5 linked regions of the Oryzias latipes genome follow. The protein of the gene in region 1 purifies or fractionates together with the protein of each later gene. This does not show direct contact. Links are inferred from orthologs where the notes say so. Each region holds a gene or a part of one and is shown in the gene's direction. Other genes may lie near its edges.

Evidence for each region.
Region 2: the proteins of sin3b (region 1) and kdm5a purify together in Homo sapiens (affinity purification with mass spectrometry; 4 studies listed by BioGRID and IntAct, with this or other methods). This does not show direct contact. The link is inferred for Oryzias latipes from reciprocal best matches to the Homo sapiens genes SIN3B and KDM5A.
Region 3: the proteins of sin3b (region 1) and suds3 purify together in Homo sapiens (affinity purification with mass spectrometry; 3 studies listed by BioGRID and IntAct, counting the BioPlex papers as one, with this or other methods). This does not show direct contact. The link is inferred for Oryzias latipes from reciprocal best matches to the Homo sapiens genes SIN3B and SUDS3.
Region 4: the proteins of sin3b (region 1) and arid4b purify together in Homo sapiens (affinity purification with mass spectrometry; 3 studies listed by BioGRID and IntAct, with this or other methods). This does not show direct contact. The link is inferred for Oryzias latipes from reciprocal best matches to the Homo sapiens genes SIN3B and ARID4B.
Region 5: the proteins of sin3b (region 1) and gatad1 purify together in Homo sapiens (affinity purification with mass spectrometry; 5 studies listed by BioGRID and IntAct, with this or other methods). This does not show direct contact. The link is inferred for Oryzias latipes from reciprocal best matches to the Homo sapiens genes SIN3B and GATAD1.

Annotation. Positions count from the first base shown.
Region 1 is NC_019862.2:32,325,051-32,328,563, reverse strand, and holds part of sin3b (paired amphipathic helix protein Sin3b), read left to right. Parts: intron 1-1,788; coding exon 1,789-2,148; intron 2,149-2,428; coding exon 2,429-2,575; intron 2,576-2,743; coding exon 2,744-2,872; intron 2,873-3,513.
Region 2 is NC_019881.2:6,886,970-6,890,482, forward strand, and holds part of kdm5a (lysine-specific demethylase 5A), read left to right. Parts: coding exon 1-47; intron 48-1,139; coding exon 1,140-1,302; intron 1,303-1,383; coding exon 1,384-1,503; intron 1,504-1,596; coding exon 1,597-1,791; intron 1,792-2,519; coding exon 2,520-2,701; intron 2,702-2,795; coding exon 2,796-2,920; intron 2,921-3,513. UniProt on the Homo sapiens protein: Histone demethylase that specifically demethylates 'Lys-4' of histone H3, thereby playing a central role in histone code. Does not demethylate histone H3 'Lys-9', H3 'Lys-27', H3 'Lys-36', H3 'Lys-79' or H4 'Lys-20'.
Region 3 is NC_019867.2:3,527,022-3,531,226, forward strand, and holds the start of suds3 (sin3 histone deacetylase corepressor complex component SDS3), read left to right. Parts: upstream 1-1,401; 5' UTR 1,402-1,755; coding exon 1,756-1,867; intron 1,868-2,471; exon of another isoform or gene 2,472-2,568; coding exon of another isoform or gene 2,569-2,584; intron 2,585-3,261; coding exon 3,262-3,331; intron 3,332-3,417; coding exon 3,418-3,473; intron 3,474-4,205.
Region 4 is NC_019873.2:28,248,721-28,252,822, reverse strand, and holds the start of arid4b (AT-rich interactive domain-containing protein 4B), read left to right. Parts: upstream 1-1,300; 5' UTR 1,301-1,495; intron 1,496-1,823; exon of another isoform or gene 1,824-1,920; intron 1,921-1,945; exon of another isoform or gene 1,946-2,065; intron 2,066-2,139; exon of another isoform or gene 2,140-2,926; intron 2,927-3,026; 5' UTR 3,027-3,067; coding exon 3,068-3,073; intron 3,074-4,102. UniProt on the Homo sapiens protein: Acts as a transcriptional repressor. May function in the assembly and/or enzymatic activity of the Sin3A corepressor complex or in mediating interactions between the complex and other regulatory complexes.
Region 5 is NC_019869.2:23,121,625-23,125,644, reverse strand, and holds gatad1 (GATA zinc finger domain-containing protein 1), read left to right. Parts: upstream 1-1,348; 5' UTR 1,349-1,445; coding exon 1,446-1,526; exon of another isoform or gene 1,527-1,619; coding exon of another isoform or gene 1,620-1,685; coding exon 1,686-1,799; intron 1,800-1,878; coding exon 1,879-2,001; intron 2,002-2,075; coding exon 2,076-2,135; intron 2,136-2,983; coding exon 2,984-3,167; intron 3,168-3,244; coding exon 3,245-3,435; 3' UTR 3,436-3,519; downstream 3,520-4,020. UniProt on the Homo sapiens protein: Component of some chromatin complex recruited to chromatin sites methylated 'Lys-4' of histone H3 (H3K4me), with a preference for trimethylated form (H3K4me3).

The DNA of each region.
Region 1 (3,513 bases):
ACAAAGTCATAGAATCAATAGGTAACGGCTAAACTAAACCAGTCATTTTCTTGGACATAGTTCCTGTAGAGCGGCGTTGTGGGCGGGACCGTTGGCGTGGTGAAAGCCAGTCCTCCTTCCCATCATCTGTTTACAGTTTACACCCTCTCCCACTAGCTTACTGCCCCTCACACCCCCAACCTAGCATTAGCAGTGCAACAAAAACAGTGATCAGATCCATCCAGCCGTCCAGTTCTGATCCAGATTCCAGCTCAGACCAGGAAAACAAAGAAGATCATGGATCTGTTGGTCTGCAGGTGGAGGATCAGAATGGAGCGGGGGCTGGAGGCTGTCCATTGTAGTTTTTTTATACCATGGCCCGGGTGAATACTTGAATCTGATTGGCTGCTGGGTGTGCATTAAAAAGTGATATACCACAGGATAACTGCACGGTGAAAAAAGAAGTTCCGGTCACCTAGCTTAAATGTTCTGTATCACTACGCCGGCTTCTTTAAAACAACCTTTTGCTTCATCATTTGGACAAAAACAAGCGGTAAAAAGTGAACTTTCTCTCTGAACTGATGCTTTATTCAACCCATCGGGAAGATCAGCATAGATATATATCGCCGAATCTTGACTGCAGCAGTGATGCGGCGCGAACAAATAGTCCGCTTTTTGTGAGAAAAGTGATCCAAATCGGAACAAAAAACAAGAATTAAGTACCAAAAACAGGTTACTATTTATTGCTTTTGTAAGTGACCATGGTATAAGCGGGTTAATGGCCTTTGAAGTGTTCATTATCAGAACTAACGCACTTCGCGGAAGCACCCAGGCTTCCACGGTGTGCGTTAAAAAGTGATAATGCACACTTCGTCGGCCATTGACCCTTACACGTAACAACTATAGGCTTTTTATTTTGTCTTTATTTATTTATTTACTTATTCTTTCTGTTTCTCCTCCATCAGCAGAACAGGTTAAAAACAACATTTTGTTTTATCATAGTGTGTTTTTGAGAGAAAACTGATGTCTGAGTGATGGTTATTCACAAAACGCGGCCAAACTTTGGAGAGTTTGCTGCCATCAGATTGTATTAGTGCGTTTGACCCACATGAGCTGCAGATGTATTTGTTATTTAAACTTTGTGTGGAATAATGTCTCTTTGTGGGCTTATTTGCACTTTTGATGAACCTGGAACTGAATCCTCTGAATGTAACGTTGCTGTCGGATGTTTCCCAGAATGACAAACTGTCAGAGAAGATTCTGATTTTAGATGCATCCCATGGTGGAGTTTATGGATTTTGGAAATCATTTAATCATTTTGTCACTTCAGTTTTTGAAATCTATACACTTTCAATAATATTCCAATTGATTTGAATCATGATCGTCTTTGCTAAACTTAATCGTTTCATGTTTCTCACACAAAATGTTGCAAATTTGAGAGCTTATTGGATGACCTCATAGCGCTGTTATTGCATATGAAAATCTAAAAAGACACTTTTTTCTGCTCCTTTTTGCCTATAAATGTTTGCATTTATTTACAAAGTGCTTAAAGAAAATCTAAAAGCTCTCCATTGTGCTGTAAAACCAGATTGTTGTATTAAACTGTGGATTATTGGAGCTAAAGCTGCTTAATAAAAAGCTCAAATCAGTGTTATTTTTAATTTATGGAGTTTGAATTCTTTTGCTTTAAAAAATCCACTTTATTTCAGAGCCGATGTAATTATGTTTCATGTTCTTTAACATTTCATTTCTTTAATGTCTCATGCACTGTTTGCCCCCCCTGTCCACCCCCCCTGTCCACCCATGCAGGTGTCTCCGGGACAGCACACTAAAAATCTGACCCCTCCTGCAGTGGGCTCGTCCTCAGGCCCCGCCTCCACGGTCCACGCTGAAGCTGGACCGGTCCAGACCAGTGAAGTCAAGGCGCCTTCGTCCGATTCCCTGTCGTCCAGCTCGACGGGACCCGCAGAGCCCCCCAGCAGACTTTCTCTCCCCCTGACTAAAGAGAGCCACAATCCGGCCGCCGTCTCCTCGGTGTCCCCGCCGGCGTCAGAGACCAGTCCTGTTGAGTTTGACAGTGCCATCAGCTATGTTAACAAGATTAAAAACCGTTTTCTGGACCACCCAGAGATTTATAGAGCCTTCCTAGAAATCCTCCACACCTATCAGGTAAAAACTGGCTGATTAGGAAGCAGATTTCCAGCTCCATAACTGAAACGTTTTACATTTATCACAGTGTACAGACGAGACTGCAGCGGCTTGTTGGCCGTTTTATTCCTGAAACGTGTGTCATGGGGTGGATGTGTCAGAATGCACGCCATTCATCACTATTGCATCAAAACGGCTGTTTTACAAGATATTGATAACTGTAGATGTGATTGTTCTTTAAAAGAAAGAGTGTTTCCCCCTTTGGCTCCATGTCAACACGGTTTCCCCCGTCACTTTGCAGAAGGAGCAGCTGGAAGCCAAGGAGAGTCGGGGCAGCAGCGGCATGACTGAAGACGAAGTCTTTTCCAAAGTGGCCAGCCTTTTTAAGGGGCAGGAGGATCTTCTGGCTGAGTTTGGACAGTTCTTACCCGATGCTAAGAGATCTCTGGTCAGTGAAGCTCCAGCATGTGAACTTCTAACCTTAATGAAATAAGTGAAGAGTCACAAACGAACCTGGTTTTTCCGGTTTGTCCGGCTTCTCCAATGGAGACAGACTAGCTGTATTTGCTTTTCAGAATGTCTCTGCTGATATTTACTTCTTCTTTTGCTAATTTAGTTCACGGGGAGTTCGCTGACGGGGAGCAAAGAGCCGCTGAAAAAGTCTGAGGAAGACGATGTATCAAGCAAACAGAACAAGAAGAGGCCCCGGCCCGTCCTCCTGCAGCACATGTCTCCTCTGCTGAAGGTATGCTCGTGCTTCTTATGGACGCATTTGTCCAAACGACGCCGGCCAAAAGTGACAAAATGCTTCAGTTAAGAAGAAAGCTTGATTTAAATAGTGAGAAATGCTGCAGTTTGCCTTTATTGTGTGATGTTGAAACACAATCGATTCATTTCATAGCTTTATCAGTGTTTAAAGAATGCAAAGTGGCACAGAATGAACATTTTACCTTGGAACTGTTGTTCCTTTCTGTCCCACTAACCCCTGTGTTTGTGTAGCTTCATCTGACTGGACCCCTTTACTAACTCTGAATTACTTTATTCTTGTTGATGAGGCTTTGTTGAAGTATTAACCGGCCCTGGCTTGACATGTTGTGTTTTTTTTCCTGGTTTCTAACAGTTGTCTATTCTTCAATCAGAAGGATTTCAATGTTAAACTGTAAACGTATTCTACAGTTAATCTGAGTAAAAACCAAACCTAAGGGGGAAAAAGTCGCGTTTATTCACTGCAGGGTCTGATGTATTTAATGACAGCAAAACACAGAATTAAGAGAAAGGAAGGTGTGTTTGCATACGAAAGGACCCCCCATTACAAGATTTGACCTAAAGCTCGATAAGATGAAAATGTGCACCTTTAACCTTTTCTTTGATTTAAATCAAAAAAGG
Region 2 (3,513 bases), on another chromosome or scaffold:
TGGCACATCGAGGACCACTGGAGTTACTCCATCAACTTCCTTCATTGGTAGGTCGATGAAGGTTCTCCTCCATTCAGGTGACGTCTTCTTGACGTTGGCCATCTGGACTTAAAGACTTCTGCTTAGATGAATGGGGAAACAGGATTTAACTTCAAGACTTCGTTGGTGAGAAGCGACCCTGTCTTCTTGCCATGTTTTTAAACGTTCGCCTGTAGTCTGAGGTGCAAACGTGTGCAAAGCACGTAGAACCAAAGATCACGAGTTTGTCCGCACTTCAAAACATCCAACATCTGCGAAGCTGTGGGAAGCAGAACGATCTTCTCATATCTTCCAAATCATCTGTGCTCCTCCAAGAGTTTGTAAATGGATTTTTCAGAACTCCTGTAGGCTTAATTAAATGCGCCCCCTCCCCCCCCGTATGTTGTCCCGTACAGATGCTGCAGGTTTTTGGTTGTCTGGACCCATGGAGGGTTGCAGAGAGGGAGGTGCTGCATCTGAAGAGGAGCATAGGTGTGTCTTGGAGGTCTCTTGTGGCTCATGGAGCCACCTTAAGGGACGTCATGAAAACAGACATATCTGAACTTTGGCGAAGAAGACTCGTTGCTCAGCTTTGGCCCGTGACCGGTTGATGATGTGATCAGTGAGCGGAATCCAAAAACAAACACGATGGAGGATCTGATTGTTCTCCTCATGAACTTTATGATATTTTTTATATTTGCATCAAAACGATCCGAAAAAGTTATTCCTCTGACTAACAGCAAGCTGTCCAACCGGGTCACAGACAGACGGAAGTACCGCTGAAAGCAGCCGTCATTCAGATGATGAACCTCGCCGCACTGGGAGAGTCTCTGAATGATCTCATGAACCCAGATGTGCTAATTGATGCTTTTATAGACCTTTTTAAAATAGATAAATGCTCCCATGTTGGGATCAAATTAAGAATTTTTAAGTTTATGTCAAGTTTCTGAACACGTTATCGGAGAAGCACGCAGGAGAAATTTTGTTGCAAGTCCAAAGAGAGGCAGCATAATTTGACAATTTGAAACGCAAGTTTCATTGGGTGTGGTTTTAGCATAATGCTTAGTTTTCTTTATCTTTTTGAACTTTGTAAAACTGCTTTTGCTTCTTCTGCTGTTAAGGGGTGAACCCAAGACGTGGTATGGCGTGCCGGCCGCTGCCGCAGAGAAACTTGAAGCTGTGATGAAAAAGGTGGCGCCCGAGCTGTTCGACTCCCAGCCCGACCTCCTCCACCAGCTGGTCACCACCATGAACCCCAACGTCCTCATGGAGCACGGCGTTCCCGTACGCGGCCACAGCTTGGGGGTTCGACCTAAAGGGCTGATCGTGGAGTCCAGGTTATGACCAGTTTCTCCCGATGTGCAGGTTTACAGGACCAATCAGTGTGCGGGCGAGTTTGTGGTCACCTTCCCCAGAGCTTACCACAGCGGCTTCAATCAAGGCTACAACTTTGCGGAAGCGGTCAATTTCTGCACAGCCGACTGGGTGACGAGAGACGAACAACTCATAAATCACATCAGAGGTTTTTCTATTTCTGTGGATTAAGGCTTTTTTTAATGTTTCAATTGTGCGTCGTAGTTGCCGATGGGACGCCAGTGTGTTGCTCATTACCGCCGCCTTCACCGCTACTGCGTCTTCTCCCACGAAGAGTTGCTCTGCAAGATGGCCGCCGACCCAGAGAGCCTGGACGTGGAGCTGGCCGCTGCTGTTTACAAGGAGATGAGTGACATGATGGAGGAGGAGAGCAAACTCCGGCAGGCTATGCAGGAAATGGTAACCATCACCTTTCTGGTGGTTCTGACTTTGCGGTAACCCTAGCGTTCTCAATGATCCGTTCCCACTGAACGCCATTTGTGCGTGATAGTCGACGCTCGTCTAAAAGTGTCTTCATCAATCTGCCACTTTGCAATGTGTGGGAGGAGCTACCCCCAAACGTTTTTAGCCTCATTGCTAAATCATGGAAGACACGGATGATGTCGAGAGATCAGGTTTTATTTATTTTGAAGAGCTCTCCAAAAACATCGGTAATCACGTCGAGGTTCATGAGGTCATTCAGAGACTCCCAGTACGGTGAGGTTCACCATCTAGTGCAGGAAATGTGTTTAAAATAGGCTTTAGTAGTAATTCTATCTCTCTGTGATCCAGTTTGATGTCTTGCTGTCTCGCATTAGTCCAATGAGGGTAAAAAAATATCAATAAAATTGGAGGATTTTTAAAATGATTTCTTTTATGTGTCGATACGAATAAGAACACAGACCAAAACGGAGTCCCTGATTGGTTCATGTGAGGTGAAGCTTCACTGAAGTTTAGATATTTAAACTCTGGAAACTTTTGCCACTTGTCCGAATTTTCGCCGCTCAACCCAAAATGTGCTGCTGATAGAAGAATTGCGACGCTCAAAATGGACTGTTCATTGAATTAACATTACAAATAGACATTTGCGTTTGAATGTAGCCTAAAATCCAACCTCATTGGTCTGTTGTTTTATTTTTATTTTTCAGGGGGTGCTGTCCTCGGAACAGGAATTTTTTGAGCTTGTTCCAGACGACGAGCGGCAGTGCCACAAGTGTAAGACCACCTGCTTCCTGTCTGCACTGACCTGCTCCTGCAGCCCCACCAGGCTGGTGTGTCTCCATCACGCTGGAGATCTGTGTGACTGTCCTCTTGGAAACGCATGTCTGCGGTGCGACCTTGTCTTATTGAAGCCACGAGAACATAAAAAAACAAACCCTCCCTTTCTTTTTTGAATGACTTGCTCTCTTAAATCCCTGCCTTAGCTATCGTTATGACTTGGAGGAGTTCCCTTCCATGCTGTACGGGGTAAAGGCTCGGGCGCAGTCCTATGATACCTGGGCAAAAAGGGTGGCAGAGGCCTTATCTGCAGACCAGAAGAACAAAAAAGGTCTGGATATTACAGTTCTGTGTCTTATTCAGACTTTTGTAATGACTTTTTTTAAACTTTATCTAAAAAGAACCTTCAAAACATTAAAGTATAAAAGCTGTCTTAAAAAACTTGTTAATGCTAAATGTTTTGTAGTCACCTGTTTACTTTTTTCCGTCTCATAGAAAAACTACATTTATCACCATTATTATCATAGTTACATTATAGAAAACATGTTGACCTGCCTATTAGCTGCTAAATGTTTTAATAAAATTTGTGGAAAAACATGTTTTTTGAAAAAGATTTTTAAAACTTAAAAAAAAAATGTAAGATTTAATTTACAAGCAATTAATATTATGTGGAGACATCAGGGGAAAAGGCCTATAAACTACAAAAATACAACAAAAATAACTATTTTTTATGAAAGTAAAGTAAGTAAATCTTTATTTATAGAGCACTTTCTCACAGAAAGACTCACAAAGTGCTTCACGATGTTAAAACAATACAGAATCAGAGACAGAGTGGCACAGGGAGTCTAAAGCAGGTAAATTCCAGTAAAACAGGGATAAAAGTAAACAAACTAACAAAAGTGAACCCAAGTAAAAGTCAGCAAA
Region 3 (4,205 bases), on another chromosome or scaffold:
ACATGTACACAAAACAGATAGTGTTCACACACATACTTATGCCTTAAAACCAACTAGTGTGAAATATTTCAGTCATTCAATCATGCAAGCTATTAGTGCAAAGGTGAGCTAACACCTGTGCTCAGGTGAGGTTTTATGTTCTTCTAAAATGGATGGTGGAATGTGAAAAGAAGGAGGAGGAGCGCCCAGCCACCCCCACACCCATACCCCCGCCGCAGCAGCAGCGGCAGCCGGAATTCCCCCAACGCCACACGGGAACCGGCAGGGAACAACCGCCGCCCGGGCGACCAAGCCCGCCACCCAGGCCAGGGCCAGCAGGGCCGCCGCAAGGCCCCCAGAGCCAGAGGCCAGGGAAGCACGGAGGGAAAGAGAGCGCCGCCCCAGCCCAACCAGGAGAGCATCCTGGTTGGGCTGGGCATGAATCCTTCTTCAGACTAAATTGGAACATTGTAAATTATAGACAGACAGACAGACAAAAAAGGTTTGAGATATAAAACAATGTTGTTGTTTTTTTAATTTGTCAGGTTTAAAAGACATTACAGAGCAGAAAAAAAATATTCAAACAAAAAATGTGATTATGGGGATTATTTAAATGAGTGCAAGGATGCAGATTTGCTTTGATGTGACATTTTTTATTTCAGTGAAACGCCACTGTTGTTTATCCAGAAAGACAGTTCTTCTTGAGTCACATTTGTCCTAAAGTTCTGTGGATAATCCAAATGTTCCTGTTGCTCACAGTGTGATTCTCCTTGAACTCTCCTATGGATCCATGTTTGTCCAAAAGTCTCTGTCTGGCCGTTAAATCATGGGTTCTAACCTGAACTGAGTCAATCGAGGGTCTGATCTTCTTTCCATCTTCTTATTCTGCTTCTTTTATGATTTTCTGTATGATTCTTCATCCAAACTGGTCACTTCTGGGAAATTGATAATGGCTCTTTCTAGGGAACTTAGGAGTATTAAATTATATCTTTATCCATTAAATTTATAACTGGGAGTATCACATAACTGTGCTAATTGGACCTGATGTGTCTGGAGACAAGTAGATGTTTGGCAATAAAAAAGTGGTTTATTATAAAATTAATTTGAAGAATTATGTGTGGAGACTTAAGGCTCATGTGTTTTTGCTTATTTTATTAAATAATTAACTAATTTTTATTAAAATTAGCCATAACCACAGCTTATAGATTTACAAAAAGACTTTAAGGTTCTCTTGTCCTTTTTTATTTCTTCATGCAGCAAAAAAGACAGTTGTCTCTTGAAAGCCTATGGAGTCCATCATCCTGTGGTATTCACACTATAACCAGATTTTTCCAGGTTCATCAGTTTACTCCCAATGTCAGATAACGGCTACCAAATTACCCAATTAACATGATCAATTGAATAATTTCATAACCCAGAACACACAAACCCCACACAAAAAGAAGTAAATAAATAAACGGCCATTGACAGCACCAAATACTGTATCGAATCTCTTGCAATTGCCTGTTTTTTCCTTTTTTTCCATTGCAGATACAAAATTAAAGCGGATGTGTTTATTCTCCAAGGTGAATAAAACTAATTATATGTTCGTCCTTCTAGTTAAATAAAATACAATAAAGTATATTTTGTGCAATTTTTAAACGGAATACTCGTCAGGCACAAGCTTGGACAGCTTAGCGCTTGGGGGTCCTCGCAGTTGTAGGCGCAGTTTCAAGCGAGCAGCAAAACACCGAGCGATTGTTTATTTTGTTTTGTTTACATCCTCCAAATAAATAAATGGCGTCCACTTTAATATCGCCCGTGGTGGATTATTACAACGACGAGGAGGAGCTCGACAGCGTGGATGACGACGATGATCGGAGCTTCAGGGGCAGAGACTCCGAAGAAGGTAACGTTAAATCAGTAGAACCTTTCTCTGTGGTTCGCGGGCTCCGTCTATTTATTGGAGAAGAAACGGAAATGCGCGGCCATTGCACATGTTTCGCTTGTTGTTCGTTGAAACAGCACCTACAGTTAAGTTAAGTTTGGGATTTGAAAATATATATTTTGGGTAAACATGTGAGGTTTGATTATTGAGCGTGAAAGTGGTAGAGTTTGTACTGCCTAGGCTTAGCTTCAAGCTAACATTTGGTTCCCGAATTGTTTTTTTTAAACAAAGGAAGGAAAACAAATAAAAATAATTGAGTAAAGTGACTTTATTAAAACAAATATATCAAATAATTAGCCACTAATAAATAATTAGAATGAGTCCCTTTTCTATCGCTATTTCCTAAAGGGTTGCCTTTTGTGGTGCATGAATGTTTATGCTCAAATGTCACATTTCTGCTCGAAAAAATTGGAATCGTCTAATAAAAGGGTTTAAGTGAGTGATTTGCAGAGTAAGTCACAGGAGTACCTCCCTCCCCTGCAGTTAGTTACCGCAGGATTTCAGTGCAATTCCCCGCAGCGTCCGTCCGCAGCGTTAATCAGCCGCCCTCCTACGTAACTTTAGCTCTGAGCGTTGACAGGTCGGCCTGCCTGCCGTGTCCACCGTTCTGCCCTTTCACACTCCGGTCAGGCGATCGCAGCGGAACCCGGCGCATCGAGGCGATGACAGCCCTGCCAGGTCTGCTTGTTTGGTGCTCCTGACCTCCAGAAGAACTGCGTAGCGTAGCTTTTATCTCCCCTTCTCTCCGCGCGCGCGCGTGTGTGCTGACGGTCCCGATCGCTCCGATCTCCTTGGAACAACTGTTGGAGCTAACTTTAGCTAGCCCTCAAAGCTAACTGAAACCGAAAGCGCTGCGTCAGCTTACGTGGGCCTCTCTGTCCGTGTCTTTTTCCCACGGGTTCACGAAGAAAACGGCACGTTTGTGAAGTCGATCGCGTCATCGTTGTGCTTCTGGGGGGGTAGAAACGTCCCGGCATCGCTCCGAGGGGGGTAGCCGCTGCTGGACCTGACAGACAGACAGCGGGAGCGCGGAGGATCAAAGCCCAGCAGCATGCGGCAAATGTTTGACTTTCACGCGGACATCTGCACCGTCATTCCTCCGCCTCGAACTTTAACTTTGTCCCTTTTGAGTTGAACTGACGTGAGGCTTAAAAACAAACGTGGATCTGACCTGGGGGGCATTCAGTATGACCTCACCGGAGCCCCCCAGGCTGGTCTGCAATAAGACCTGTGCTGTCTGTCTGTCTGTCTTTCCTTCCGGGGAGGGAGCCGCTGACATGATCAGATGGGTTTAAGTGAGTTCAAACTTCAACTCAGTCTCTTTGTCCCCCCCCCCCCCCCCCCCCCCCTCAAAGACACAGAAGATGCCAGTGAGACGGACCTGGCCAAGCATGACGAAGATGACTATGTGGAAATCAAAGAGCAGTAAGGGATTTGTGTCTTTGTGTGTACTAGTGTGTGTGTGCGTGGCCTGAGCCGAACCCTTATTTGTGGTTTTGTTTTCCTGACAGAATGTACCAAGACAAGCTGGCCTCGCTGAAGAGACAGCTGCAACAGTTACAAGAAGGTAAAGATGCAGGCCTGCACAGAACGCCATCATTTCAGAGTGCGTCATTAAAACCAAAGTATGTCTGAAGGGGTTTGTTTGTGGTAGGAAAGGTCTGCATGTTTTCCCAGATATCATTGCTCTACTGGTTACCTGGATCACCAGGTGTGTCTAGGATGTGCTGGAGAACAAATCCAGCCCTCAGGTGCCCCCCCTGGTTTTAGATCTGGCTTTTTTCTTAAAGCAAAGATGTGGGTGTAAACCAGAGATCTCCAACCTTTTTCAGGCCACAGATCGGTTTAAAATCAAACGGTATTTTCACGGACGGGGCTGAAGTGGGCCTCTGAGTTCTTTTATTGTTTTTTGCCTCCTGCTTTCTTTAGGTTTTGAGGGTAATGTTCATCTTCATCCTCTGTAAAATATCTGCTTTAAACTTAATTTGAACACTAGATTTCATGTAGGAACGATTAAAATGTGATCTAGAGTTTCCCTGAACCCACAGCCATCAAGGAGGAAGCTTAAAAACTCTGAACTCTTTAAACATTATTAAAAAAAACACTAATCCACTGTTTGAGTAAGTTTATTAGCAGCATCCTCATAACTTGCTGAATATTATTCATTATTATTATGGTCCATATTTGGATTTAAGACTGTTTTTTTCTGATAAATGCAGCTGTCCTTTATTTTGAAGTCCTCTTTTGTTTCTTCTCCGACTCTTTTCTCCCAAAAGAAACTATGAGTATGTTTGTTTTT
Region 4 (4,102 bases), on another chromosome or scaffold:
CACATTTTCATTGTCGATTTAGTTCAAAACCAACAAAACAAAAATCCTACTCTGCACATTACTGCGGTCTGTATACTGATCTAAAATATTCTGTTAGGTTTACACGGAACTGTAGGGGCAAACGAGGATTCATTCCTGACATACGTTAAAAATATAGAAGACTAAGCATAAACGTTACACACATAAGGCATTTCTGAGAATGCATTCAATAAAAATGTTATTTCGTTGAGGGGAAAACATGAACAAGCAGCACATTTGACATGACTAGACTTGTATAAGCATCCAGTTTAGCCGTTTAATCACACGACTGTTGGCAATAAATTAGTTTATTACATCAGAGTAGAAGAACTAAAAACAAAGATCTAGTTGGCATCAAGAAGAAGTCATTTAACAGGATTGATTTAAACAGTGAAAGTGATTTTGACATTTTATTTTGAGATGTAAATTTATTTTTTAACTGATTTTCCATTAAGTTGTAGTTTTTTTCCATCATCACAGAACACTTTCTCGTACAAACACGTTATCAAATGTCACCCTATGAATAAAAACAAAACACATTACAGTGAACACTGCTGGGACACTCTGTGTGCTCTTGACCCCACCCACCTATCAGTTGCTGACAAGCCGCTCGTGAATTCCGGTTAGCCACGCTCCTAGCTAGCTAGCCTTAGCGGACCCACATAAATATCCCGCTGTGTCACCGATGACTTCTTATTATCTCCCACTTTCTTCAAAAATGAACGTCTGCGTTATTCGGAGCTCTCGATATTGTCTCCACATTCACGCGCTGAGCTCATTTTAGGTGCCTGCCTATATCCGCTCGATGCTATGCTATGCTAAGCTTTTAATGTTACAATGGCGCATTGTACAGACAGTTACCAGTCGAGCTGCCTTGAAAGAGCTAGCTTTATAAGCTGCGGTCAAACTACAGAGCAGGCGCAGAATGGTGGCTGACGTCTAACCGGGGTTTCCTTACTGAGTGATTGTTTCATTAGAAAATATCCACTGCCGGATGAAAGCGACACCTCACTGAGTCAATGTAAACAGCACTTTAATGATAATCGGGACACTCTGTAATACAAATCGAACGTACATGGATTTAGTAAATCTGGGTTTTGTAGTTTTTGCCCTGCTTCGTCAGAGCCACTCAGTATCACTGTAGATATTTTTTCTCCCAGAGGAGCCAATCACGGACCACGAAGATGTGCAATTATACTTTTTTATCCAATCAGAGAACAGATATTCGCGTAAGGCGGGAACGTTTGGCCTGTCAATCATTCTCAGGAGAGGGGAGGGGGGATCACGGAGAGACCTATGAGCCACTCAACAAGGCAAACAGCAGCTCTGCGAAAAGCACTTTTATCAATCCGCATCCAACATCAACCAGGGGCTAACAGACGACGTTAAAACCGGACTCCCTGCCTCCATAAATGTTCCTATGGATTATTAACACGCTTTTGTCGAAAAATCGGAGTTTATCAACTTGACAGCGTCGGTAAGTCGGCTTTTGTTCGGTATTTTCAACATTTTTTTCTAGCATGTTTCCCTGCTGCTACCCAAGTCGACCGTGACGTTAGCTAACTTGTTAACTAATAATGTTCTTCGGGGGGGAATGAATGAGTAAGTTGACCGGGCCGCAGATCATTTGGAAAATAGAAGAAGAAGAAAAAAGGAAAAAAAACTTGACAACAAAGTTGTATGGTTAGCCTCCCGGTTGAACGCAGAGAACAGCTCCGCTACGCGGCGGGACCGAAGCAGAGGAATCCTCGTCGTTGCGCCGCTTGTCACGGTGTTCTCCCACCGACCGACGGGGAAGTGAGATTATTCGGACCCGTTTTTTTGTGTGTGTGGCCCGGACCGCTTCGACGCGGCTGCGGGATGGGGGGTTTTAACCGCCGCGCCAACGGTGTAGTTTATCAGGTAAATTGCATTGTCAGTCGTTTCTTTTGTGCAGTCCTCCGCTCTTCGCGATCGACTTGTCCAGTAGCTCCTGGACTCGTTTATCTGTCGTCAAGTCGGTTCCGCGGATGGTTTCCTCCGCCTGACAGATCTAATCCCGGTTCATGTGAGCACTATTGTTGTGTTTAGTTTTATTTTTTCTTTTAACATATCTCCGTAGCATCGCGTTAACAGACTGACCGGACAGAAATCGTTGAGGACTCGGGTTTAAATGGATTCCCGTGTTTCGAGGCGGTTGTCGGTTGTCGGTGGTCGGTCACCGTCTGGGGCGGATGACATTGTATCCTCCGCGGTATTCCGGAGCCACAAAACGGGGGCTTCGACCTTGGCTCCTTACAAAAATACACGTTTAAAAAAATAATTTTAAATGAAGGCGACGTTGCAGCGGCGCAGACCGAGCTTGACCTTGTTGCGAACCGTTTCGTCGACTTTCTTTCTTTGTCGGGAGCGGAACCGCCAGCCCGGTAGCTCAGCTGCTGACATGTTTTCGGGGGAGACTTTTTTTAACGTGTCACCGCCGCCGAGTCGCACTTTATTCAACTTATGGTTGGACATTGCGACACAGCTCATGATTCTGCGTCTGCGGAGACGCTGTTTCTGGAGAAGCGGAAGGCGAACAAGAAGAAAGAAGTCCGAGTCCCGGAGGAAAACGGCTCGGTGAAGAGGCGTCAATATCGCGGAGCACATTTCGGCTCAGAAATGGCGTCATCCCCCTGCTGAACGGCTGGTGGTGTAGTCGGTGCGGCGCAGACGGCGGTCCGGGGGGCTCCAACCGCGTCGTCCCGATCGCCATCCGCGCCTTTGACCGCTCGGAGTGTGACAGGCGGCGGTACGGCAGCGTTACATAAACGCCTTAAAGGGCTCGATCCGCCCGTTGGAAAACACACACACACCCTGGTTCTATCTAGACCCAGTCTGATCTGAGCAGGTTCAAACAAAAGCACGAGGAAGCTGTGCACGCGCGCCCGCCGTTTCATCCATCAGTGATGTCATCATAACATCTTGTTGTGACAGACTGAAACTGGCTCCTTGCTTGTCTCATGGCTAACCGGATCCTCTGTTTTCAGCCCCGGATTTGTGGCTGTGCTCGCGCGGAGGACCCACGGAGATGAAGGTAGGCTCATTCATTCCGCCGCTTCCTGTCATCTAGATATTCTGCAAAACGCCAGGCTCCTCACTCCTCAGCCTGCATGAGGAAGAGGTTTAAAAGCAGACCTATGCACAAAGTAGAGTTCCTCACTTCAAAAAAACTGAAACTTTTCTCTCTGCTGTGTTTTGTGTTTAGAGATTTGAATGCTGAGTGTTGGTCCTTGTTAGAGTTGTGAAGATGAATGTGAGGCCGACATGAATATGATTGGATGTTATTGTTCTGCAATGATGTACAAAATATTATTATGGTCTTATTTTATGTGTTTGGCTTTAAATAATACTGGAAAAGGGACGTAAAACTTGAAGGGATCGTCTATCTGCTCTTGTAGCTCCAATCATCTGTTTTTAAAGTGTTCCCAGTGGTCTTTTAATTATCATTGCACCACTTTTGCCCCAAATCCAAAAAGCCTGTAACTTTCTAGGACATAGTTTCTGCAGAGCAGCAGGAGTTCGTCAGAAATTAGTGTCTAAGTTGTGGGCTGGTCTGTTGACTTGGAGTGAGACTGTGCTCATTTCCCATGATCTGTGTTTACATGGTCTCCCACTAGCCCCTCACACCCCCAACCTAACATTACTGGTGCAATAAAAATGACGAGCAGTAACAGATATCCAGCTGTACAGCTGTGCAAGTGGATGCATCAGAATGGAGCGGAGCAGGGTGCTTGTGGCCCCAGCTATTGTAGTTTGTACACAACGACAGACTTTCATCAACAGCATTTTTTTTGTCTGCTCATGATTCACATTGATTTAAATAAAGTAATACTCAGATGTGCAATTTGAGTCCTAATTTTCTTTATATAAATCCTCCACTGTGTGAAAAATGTTACATCAAAACAATGTTTGTTGGGTGTTTAACAAAGCTCTAATAGCATTTTATGTAATTTTTGACCTGCAGACATTCCGGTCATACCAGAGTTCTAGCGGTGCTCTGTAGCAATAAGAGGAGATCCCACACATCTCTTCTGCACCGTAACATTCGTCTCATTGCTTGCAT
Region 5 (4,020 bases), on another chromosome or scaffold:
TTCCTCATTTTGTCACAGCCCGTAATCTGTTACATAGAAAGTTGTCAATCAAATCGGCCAATACTATTATTAAATCATTTTAAAACGCAATAAATCGATATGTAATTATTTCACTTTATTTATTTTCTTAATTTATTCATTTTCTTTTGTTGTAGTTGTTGTTTTTCAATTTTCAATTGTTTTTGTTCCTGAACAGTTCTTTGTTTTTGGTGTGAACTTCATTACTTATTTCTGTATTTTGAAAAAAAAAAAAAAAAAGTTTTTACATGTTTTTTACAGTTGATTACATGTTTTGCAGACCACATGTTTTATACACTTTTGCAGCTGTATTTATTTAATATTTATTTATTTAATAAGAATCTCATTTTTGATAATAATTTTCCTAATAATTGTAATAATAATTTTAACTATTTAATATGAATGTCATTTGTGATGTCCTTTTTTGATGTTATATTATATAGATTATTTCTGAATGTCGTTTTTGCTGCCACAGATAAATGAAATTTCCCCATTGTTGGATTAATAAAGTTATCTATCTATCTATCTATCTATCTATCTATCTATCTATCTATCTATCTATCTATCTATCTATCTATCTATCTATCTATCTATCTATCTATCTATCTATCTATCTATCTATCTATCTATCTATCTATCTATCTATCTATCTATCTATCTATCTATCTAGTAAAAGCTAGATATGATGTCAGCAAAAACTGATCAGTCAGTCATTCCAGTCTATTGTATGGAAACACTTATAAATTTAGCAAAGACATGTGACCATACAGTATGGTAGAATGTTATAATAATAGTCCCTTTGTATTATTTTAATTTGGAAAAAACAAAAGTGGGCTAAACTTTAGAAAACTAAAATGTGAATGGATTTTTCATAAATTCTTGTTTACTTGTTTGTTTGCACACAAATTTATTTACACTCTATTAGCTTGCAAGAAATTCAAGGAACCTGGAAAACTTCATTTGCACTGTCCGGTACCCAGGTATTTCTCTCTGAGTGACACTGGTACAAGTTTTAGCTTTCCTGGATCCATTTTAGGTCAGTGAATCGGATCACTGCAGCAACTAAAAATGTCATGAATTACATTTTTGTAAAAGTAAATCGTTACACCCCTACTAGACAGCAAATTGTGGAAAAACTGGATTTAAGTTAATCAAAGCTCTGTAAAATGTTTGCAGCATAAATTAAATCTACTTGTAAATTTTTATTTTGGACGAAAAATAGTTTTTAAAATGCAGTTTTTATTCAGTTTCACAAGCACTATAACTAAAAAGTTAGACAAATCGGACTGTGCTTCACACGTGTCCACTAGGTGGCGGTAGCGCAAAAATTAGACGGTTAACCGACCGAACCTAAATTGCAGACAAAGAGCGAAGCTAATATCCGGTAAAAACAATAGTTGAGCGACTACGTTTAATTGCTACAATGGATGGCAGTTATTTTGGACAAATGTTTGCAATTGATCTCTCGGAAGACCAGACATTTTGTGACATCTGCTGAACAAAGATTAGTGAGTAGTTGTTAGCATTTTTAGGGTGAATCGAGCATCTTCCTCTAGTTTCCTTCGTACTACGTCGGCGTCGTTTTCCTGAAAAAAAAAAAAATGCCGCTTGGTTTGAAACCGTGTTGTGCTGCGTGTAAGACGAACTCTTCCTCCATGTGGAAAAAGGGAAGCCAAGGGGAGATCCTGTGCAATAACTGCACGGGGAAGAGCAGCAGCGCCACGGCGGCAGGACCTTCCATGTCATTCAGCGCTCAGCCCAGTAATGGCGGAGGGAAGCAGGTCAGTCAGTCAAAGGAGGACTCAAACTCCCAGCAACTTCTCCTTTGCTCAGCATCAAACCACGTCTGTTTCTTTGTAGTCCAAGCAGGAGATACACCGGAGGTCTGCGCGGCTGAGAAGTACCAAATACAAAGCTCCTGCTTCTGAGAAGAAAGTGTCAACAAAAGGAAAAGGAAGGAGACATATTTTCAAACTAAAAAATGTCAGTTAAAAAAAATAACCAAAAATCATTCTTCCTGTCATCTTTTATTTTAACCTGTAAACTCTTCCCCACAGCCAATCAAAGCTCCTGAATCTGTAGCAACGATCGTCACTTCAGAATCTGTATTTTATAAGGTATTGTGATTATTATTCCAATCATTTGTTTGTCCGTGTTATACTGTTGGTCTGCAACCTGTGGCTCCGGGGCCACAGGTTGCTCTTTTACCCCTCCACTGTGGCTCTCTGATTAAAGAAAAATAACGTTGTGATTTTAAAATATAACTGTAATGTAAAAAATAATTATAAATAAGTAGGAAAGTAAACTTACACAAACTTTATTCAACTCATCCACAAACAGTTGAAGGACAGTACATATCAAAAACATTTTTGACAGTTTTTTTTAGCGCAGTGTACTGCAGAAAATCAATTGGAGGTCAGTAAGCACAATTAGGGAGGATTTTTGAACAAATTGAATGATTTTAAATTTGTTTACGTTTGAAAAATATGGTAAGGTTCACTTAATTAGCTCTGATTTAATTATGGTTGGTTAGGATTTACACATTTATGGCTGAGATTCACCACAAGCGATAAAATAATGTGTTGTTTTTGTTTTGTTTTTTATCACTGCTAACAATACGCCAATACCCTTATTGCATTGAGATGATTCTATATGACACCGGCTGTCTTTTATTTTGAAAGGAATTCATGTGAACTTCTGTCAAAAGTTTAAACTGTTTCATTTGTTTTAAAAAGGCTATTTTATCTTTGTTTGTTTGATTTCTGCCCAAAAAAGCAACAGTTCATTTATATTTATCATAATAATAATAATGACATCAATAAATATTTTTAAGGGTGAAGTGAGATTTTGTGGATTCTGTTGGGTTCAGTGAGAAATCGACCCAAATGGCACTTTTAGCGTTGAAGGTTGCATGCCGACTACTGTCTATGTTTTTGTTTCTTTTAACATCTCTTCACAAATACAGGGGGTTTACTACCAGACAGGTGATGTGATCAAGGTGATAGATGAGGATGACGGGAAGCCCTACTATGCTCAGATTCGAGGATTTGTGCAGGACCAGTACTGCGAAAAAAGTGCAGCACTAACGTGGCTCATTCCCACCCAGGCCAGCCCAAAGGACAGGTTTGATCCTGGGACTTACATTGTCGGTGAGAACTCCTACAGAATAACATATTTCTTAAGTGATTTTCTGGTCTTGGGTTAAGCATCATGTGTTGTTTTCCAGGTCCAGAGGAAGATCTGCCCAGAAAGATGGAGTACCTTGAGTTTGTGTGCCATGCACCCTCTGAGTATTTCAAGTCCCAGAGCTCCCCGTTTCCCACTATCCCCATATGTCCTGAAAAAGGCTACATTTGGACCCATATAGGACCTTCACCAGCATTCACTGTCAAAGAGTCTATCAGCACCACCAGTTAACAAACAGTATTGGTAAAATAATTGTAATTATGCAGAGTATGTACATGTTTGTATTTGTAAATAAAACCAACTTTTGTTTTTCATTTCTCATCTCACGACTTTAATTCTTTAAAAACATAACAAAATAACAAAAAGACTATTTGAAATTTCTTGATTTTCTAAGTTGCAGGAGGAAAGTAGACCCTCCCCCTCACAGGGAGGTTTTTGACTTTATCAGCACTTTTGGGCTTTTATGGTTTCTAGCTTTTATTTTCACTCAAAAAAAACCTTTTTATAAAATTTCTGAGCCTTTTAGGAAACATGTCTAATATTTTTTCATAGTTCTGATAACACTAAGGTCATGAGCCACGGCTCCTGAGCTACTTCTGAGCTTTAAGATGCCAACATTGTTGCATATCTTTTAATAAAAAATGTTAACTTATAAACAATAAAATCTGCACAGTAAAACAAAATGTTGCCCTATCGGTGTGAAATAGCTGTAAAGAAGACTAAAGCTAAATTATTTAGAATTTTTTTTTTTTATTAGCTGACATTTTCAGTTAGTGAGGTTTCCACATACGGAATTTGCAAAAAAATAAGTTCTGT